Linked DNA regions of Saccharomyces cerevisiae S288C. The protein of the gene in region 2 purifies or fractionates together with the protein of the main gene of each other region. This does not show direct contact. Each region holds a gene or a part of one and is shown on either strand. Other genes may lie near its edges.

Evidence for each region. The genes of interacting proteins can lie anywhere in the genome.
Region 1: the proteins of UTP18 (region 2) and UTP11 purify together in Saccharomyces cerevisiae (affinity purification with mass spectrometry, with the first as the bait; 2 studies listed by BioGRID). This does not show direct contact.

What each region holds. Positions count from the first base shown.
Region 1 is NC_001143.9:255,061-258,472, forward strand, and holds UTP11 (rRNA-processing protein UTP11), read right to left. Parts: upstream 1,413-3,412; coding exon 660-1,412; downstream 1-659. Other genes in the region: YPF1 (aspartic endopeptidase), read right to left, coding at 1-400; MTC2 (Mtc2p), read left to right, coding at 1,710-2,783. UniProt on the Saccharomyces cerevisiae protein: Involved in nucleolar processing of pre-18S ribosomal RNA.
Region 2 is NC_001142.9:310,948-314,706, reverse strand, and holds the start of UTP18 (Utp18p), read left to right. Parts: upstream 1-2,000; coding exon 2,001-3,759. Other genes in the region: MPM1 (Mpm1p), read left to right, coding at 1-593; YJL068C (S-formylglutathione hydrolase), read left to right, coding at 792-1,691. UniProt on the Saccharomyces cerevisiae protein: Involved in nucleolar processing of pre-18S ribosomal RNA and ribosome assembly.

The sequences.
Region 1 (3,412 bases), on a different chromosome or scaffold from region 2:
GGTAGATAACATGACAGTCGTGGTCCACATCAAAATCTGTAGGATCAAACAATGAGTGTTCTCTCGTAGGAGGTAGAGCTGTAAATGGAATAGAAGAAATAGACGTAAATGAGCCAATAACGACCAAAGCACTTGCGATGAGAACTAAAGTGGCGTAGTTGAATACTAAAGAATGGCTTTCCACCAAGTGTGTAATCTTGTGAGCAACGCGATATGATATCTTATCAAAGGCAGTGGTTAATTTGTTATTGTGGTTTTCAACTATAGCATTGATCTGTTCAAAAACTTGTTCTAATTCCTTGTTCGACGCACTTTGGTTAGCGCTTGATGAATTGTTCCTAAAGGCACGAGATGACCACTCTGAAAGGTGGTCAACAAATGAATTCAAATACTTGTCCATCGTGTATGAGTTTGTTCCCCATTATAGATCTGTAGTATTGCTCAAAAAGGGAGCACTTTACAAATCTTGTCCTAAATACTCCCATTCGGAGAGGGGTTCTTTTTTTTCCGGTGCCTCAAAATCCTTTTTTTTTTGATGGCGCAAAAGACACTTAAGAAAAGTGAATACTTTTTATAAACGTAATCCTATAAAACATGAAAAGAAGGATTACGGAACGTCTGCCTGATTCACTTATATATACTATATAGATGGTAAAAATCTAACGTTTCCGTTGTTTCTTCCATTTAAATGAAATTTTTCCTGAAGAGTCTACGATTTTTTTCTTGGAACCCTTCTTCAACAATTCTCTTTGAGCATCCATTCTTTGTTGGACCTGTTTCAATTGAGTTTCCCTCTGTAAGTGCTGCTTGACTTGCTTGAACTTTTTCAATTTCTTTTTGTCTAATGATTCCTTTGGCATTATTGATGAAGCGTTCCTATTGTTTGAAATATCTTGGGCTAATTGGTCCTTAGTTAATCTATTTTCAGATCTATTCACCATCTCGGAGGTGGTATTGAAAAACTTCTCTGGGGTGAATTCGTTCATCTTCTCTCGGGAATCGACGAATATTGTATGATTCCCACTGCTTTTGAACATCAACTGTTTCGCTCCTTTCTCCAGCTTTTTCAGCTCTATTTGCCTCAGCGTCCTCACATAATTACTATCTTGCGTTTTGAGTAATTTAACTTGATCCATGGAAAGCGATTCGTCTTCTTCGTCACCGTGACGTGAGCTGATCAGCAGTCCTTTTGCATCTGTCTTCCTTGAATGCATAGCATGGTAGTATTCATCTGGATTTCTCTCTTTTGCTTTTTCTCTGAGGACTTTCAAAGTGGACTGCTTCCTGTGGAAGTCTTGAGCACGTTTCACATAGTCTTTATGCTTTTCTAAAAACCCATATCTGGAACGGCTAGTTAGCTGAGAACGTTCTCTATGCTGCTTTTTCTGAACATCATGTACAAGTTTAGCCATATCTTTTGTCTGTTGTTGGCTGTAACGAACTAGAAAACCCCACTAGTATTATTCGATGATATGCAACTTGCTCTTATTGTAGTTTCTTAGCATTGTTTTCTTTACTCTTTTTCTTCAAATCGCGATGAGCTCATCTAGCCATAAAAAAATTTCATCTTTTACGTGCATAACGACAAACCTTTAAGCCTTAGAGGACTTGGTGATGTGCTCCTTTATAACAACGATTACTTCCATTGAACAGCAACACCTGCAAAATCGGAGCTGCAAAATTATTGATTGGATGTGGCAAAAATAGGAATGGGCGATCATAATCTGCCGGATTTTCAGACATGTTTGAAGTTTTCTGTTACAGCTAAAAAGAGCTTTCTATGTATGTATAGAGACAGCGTCTCAAAGGAAAAATTAGCCTCTTCGATGCCAAGTACTTGTGATATACAACTGAAGAGGGCAATCAATGACGCTTATCCGGGCGGAGGAATAAAGGTCACGGTTCTGAACTCAACAACTGCAAGCTTGGACTCGTTAGCAACTACACATGTTAAGGAATTTGAGATTGTTATCATTCCAGACATAAATTCTCTTTTACAGCCAGACCAAGCGAAATTAGTAAAAATTATGAGAGATTGCACAGTGGCGATTGAGAAGGCACAGTCAACACGTATATTTATAGGAGTGGTTCATTGGAATAATCCCGTGCAGCCTTCAGGCGCCGCTAAGGATGGGGATGAAGCAGGTAAACCAGCTCCCAAAACTCGCATCTTCCTGCCCACGTCTTTCCGTATGGGCGCTTGGCTCAAACACAAATTCTGGTTTGCATGTGCACCCCCATATTTGGATTTTGAAAGTTCAACTGAGTCTAGCATTAATACAAGAGCCAATAATAGCATTGGTATGGCTGAGGAAGAGAAGCAGGAGCCAGAGAGCAAGAGGTCGATCATATTAAATGAAGAGGCAAATCTGAACGATGTATTTGTGGGGTCCACTGTAAGACGGTATATTCTCGATATCATGGTCCATTTGCGAACGCATAGATTGACGTATAACGCCAAAGCCGGCGGGGTATATACAAATTCATTGGACGACGTGGTGTTATTGTCTAGATTAATTGGTCTACATAGCGGCAAGATGTTTGTGTCACCTTCACATGTCAAAGAGGCGTCCAGGTGGTACTTCCCCATGCACTTGGAATTGGTTCAGCGTTCCTCCATGGATAGTTCCTTATTGTACGGTAGCGACCCCAACTTGGTGGACGAAATGCTAGAGAAACTTGCGAAGATTAAGTGTGAGGAGGTTAATGAGTTTGAGAATCCCCTTTTCCTGGAATCTCTCGTAGTGAAAAACGTACTAAGTAAAGTCGTGCCGCCCGTGTAAGTTTATTATGTATTTCGAGCATGCATCTGGAACCTATGTTTACATACGTACAAACGGTATTTAAAAGTTTCTATTCTTAGCGTCAATTGCCCTTTATCGTTTTGTTAACCAATTGTTGTTTTTATTCATTATGCCATGACCCGAAAAATGAGCAAAATCGGTCAAAGTAAATAGCTAAATATTTGGTCTAAAAAGTAAGAGAGAAATGAAAATGGCAAGGCTTAACTACTTTGCAATAGTGTATATAGACATTACCAATTGAGTCCAGCAACGAAAGATTCCGCTTGCACTTGGTCAATCATTTACTGACCATAATACGAAGTAATAGAGATGCTACTAAAAGATGACCATGCGATTACAATTTACAATAGACAATTAAGCGCAAGGACAATCAGTATGCATTCCATTTCTAATAGACAAGGTGCTATGAGTGAATTGCTAGCCTCCCCTTTTTATTTTGTGCGGTCACCGCAAGGGACAAAGCTTTTCTTAGAAAACCGTCTGAGAAGCATAACGTACGCCATCCCCTAGACATATTAATAATGCTACAGATACTATGCTGCTCGTCTTTTTTTGACGACCCTTTTATTGCAATGTGCAACTAATGGCAAACAACCACATAGTATCAC
Region 2 (3,759 bases):
ACTTCAGAGATCTTGGAGATAGTGCACTTGCCATGGCGTCCGGAATCCCTACGGTGAAGCAGTTTGACAAGTGCGAAGAACTTAAGGGCCAGTCTGCATGGACCACCCAAGGGATTTGGAAATGTCTTGTCCCAAGTAAGGCTATCCCCCCTCTACCACAATTGGACTTCCTCTTACCTCTGGAGGAGATCAAATCTGACAAGTCGCACTCTCATGGGTTGTTCTTCAATGATTTCAACCTCTTTTTGAAGTGGAGGTCGCACATGAATAGACTACAAAAACAAAGAATCAAGACTAGGAGCACTGCCGTAGAGCCTCTGGCTAGAACTCCAGAAGACCTCATGTTGAATTGGGACGACTTGCATCTGGGCAACGATGCTGAATATGCTTCTGCAGATGGATCCAAGAAAATTGTTGGAAGGGCACAGTCCATTAGTACCACGAAGGATTCCAATGATGCAAAACCCAGCACCGTCAAAACTGAAAAAATCTACTTTGACGATGGCACGGTAGACATTACTACCACCACTACCTCCAAGGGTTCCAGTCCCCAGGTGAAGCATAAAGTGGTGAGTGTTGACGAAGACAATTAGGACATATTTTCGTTTCCTTTTTTTACTCATATCTTACACAATATGCCTTGTATATATCGCACGATTATGACCTTGCGCGTGTGGAAAACATGCGACTGCTAAGGGGAGATCCACACACACACACACAAAAGATCAATACACATTTTTGACAATATATAGCATCAATAAAATACATATAAGCGATTCACATAGTTCAATATGAAGGTTGTTAAGGAATTTAGTGTCTGTGGTGGCAGATTGATCAAGTTGTCACATAACTCGAACTCTACCAAGACCAGCATGAACGTCAATATCTATTTGCCTAAGCACTATTACGCCCAAGATTTTCCAAGAAATAAGCGTATCCCAACTGTGTTTTACCTTTCTGGCTTGACGTGCACGCCAGACAACGCCTCTGAGAAGGCTTTTTGGCAGTTTCAAGCTGACAAGTACGGATTTGCAATAGTCTTTCCGGATACGTCCCCACGTGGTGACGAAGTAGCCAATGATCCTGAGGGCTCCTGGGATTTTGGACAGGGCGCCGGATTCTATCTAAATGCCACCCAAGAACCATACGCCCAACATTACCAGATGTACGACTACATTCACAAAGAACTCCCACAAACATTAGATTCTCATTTTAACAAGAACGGTGACGTAAAGCTGGACTTCTTGGACAATGTTGCCATCACAGGCCATTCGATGGGGGGATATGGTGCAATTTGTGGGTATTTGAAGGGCTATTCCGGAAAGAGATACAAATCTTGTTCTGCCTTCGCCCCTATCGTGAACCCTTCCAACGTTCCCTGGGGTCAAAAAGCGTTTAAAGGTTATCTGGGCGAAGAAAAAGCCCAGTGGGAAGCGTACGACCCATGTTTATTAATCAAGAATATTAGACATGTGGGCGACGACAGAATTTTGATCCATGTAGGAGACTCCGATCCCTTTTTGGAAGAACACTTGAAACCGGAATTACTACTTGAGGCGGTGAAAGCCACTTCATGGCAGGACTACGTGGAAATAAAAAAAGTTCACGGCTTTGATCACTCCTATTACTTTGTCAGCACTTTCGTTCCAGAACATGCTGAATTTCATGCGCGAAACTTGGGTTTGATTTGAGAGGCATCGCATTTCATTATGGTAATTTTTATGACTTTTCTATGTACATATTTAGTGAAATATACGTCCGTAGAAAAAAATGGCCAAACATAGTTATCCTTTCAAAGGTTATTCGCAGTAGATTTTATGTCACCTGTAACTTCCATTACTATTGCTATTATGTGGTTAATTGGCATCACATCCGACGAATTTAATAATATGAAATGAAAAAAACGAAAAATAAAAAAATTTCACCTCATCTCATCGATCACTCTGGTCCTGTTGTGGTATCGTTCTTGAAAGTGTATATCAGCCTACATTAGTGCGACAATGACAATGGCAACAACCGCAATGAATGTTAGCGTACCTCCACCAGATGAAGAAGAACAGTTACTAGCCAAATTTGTATTCGGTGATACAACAGATTTACAAGAAAATCTCGCTAAATTTAATGCCGATTTCATTTTCAATGAACAAGAAATGGATGTTGAAGACCAGGAGGATGAGGGATCTGAATCAGATAACAGTGAAGAAGATGAAGCGCAGAACGGTGAATTAGACCATGTTAACAACGATCAGTTATTTTTTGTGGACGATGGTGGTAACGAAGATAGTCAAGATAAGAATGAAGATACCATGGACGTGGATGACGAAGATGACTCTTCAAGCGATGATTATTCTGAGGACTCTGAAGAAGCTGCTTGGATAGATTCGGATGATGAAAAAATTAAAGTGCCTATTCTTGTTACCAATAAGACAAAGAAATTAAGAACCTCCTATAACGAGTCCAAAATCAACGGTGTTCATTACATCAACAGATTGAGATCTCAGTTTGAAAAGATATATCCAAGGCCCAAATGGGTGGACGATGAATCTGATTCTGAATTAGATGACGAAGAAGACGATGAAGAAGAAGGCTCTAATAATGTTATTAATGGAGATATTAATGCTCTAACGAAGATCCTGTCTACTACTTACAATTATAAAGACACTTTATCGAATTCCAAACTATTACCCCCTAAGAAACTTGACATTGTGCGTCTTAAAGATGCAAATGCATCACACCCGTCTCATTCCGCCATACAATCTCTTTCATTCCATCCTTCTAAGCCTCTACTGTTAACGGGTGGGTATGATAAGACCTTAAGAATATATCATATTGACGGGAAAACGAACCATCTAGTGACAAGTTTGCACCTGGTTGGGTCTCCAATACAAACATGTACTTTCTATACTTCTCTATCAAACCAAAATCAACAAAATATATTCACCGCCGGTAGAAGAAGATATATGCATTCCTGGGACTTATCCTTAGAAAATTTAACTCATTCACAGACTGCCAAAATCGAAAAATTTTCCAGATTGTATGGACATGAGTCCACTCAAAGATCATTTGAGAATTTCAAAGTTGCACATTTGCAGAATTCACAAACAAATTCTGTCCATGGAATTGTCCTTTTACAGGGTAATAATGGTTGGATTAACATTTTACATTCCACTTCCGGACTATGGTTAATGGGCTGCAAGATAGAAGGTGTGATAACGGATTTCTGTATCGATTATCAACCTATTTCACGTGGTAAGTTTAGGACCATTTTAATTGCTGTAAACGCGTATGGTGAAGTGTGGGAATTTGACTTGAATAAGAATGGCCATGTTATAAGAAGATGGAAAGACCAAGGTGGCGTGGGTATAACAAAAATCCAAGTTGGTGGTGGGACAACAACTACTTGTCCGGCTCTTCAAATAAGTAAGATAAAGCAAAATAGGTGGCTTGCGGTAGGTAGTGAGAGTGGATTTGTTAATCTTTACGATAGAAATAATGCTATGACCTCGTCGACCCCTACACCTGTCGCCGCCTTGGACCAGCTAACAACTACCATTTCTAATCTACAATTTTCCCCTGATGGTCAAATACTGTGCATGGCATCCCGTGCAGTCAAGGATGCTTTGAGACTAGTTCATCTGCCTTCTTGTAGCGTGTTCAGCAACTGGCCTACCAGCGGGACGCCTTTGGGTAAAGTTACCAGTGTCGCATTTTCGCCATCTGGTGGGCTACTGGCCGTGGGTAACGAACAAGGTAAAGTGA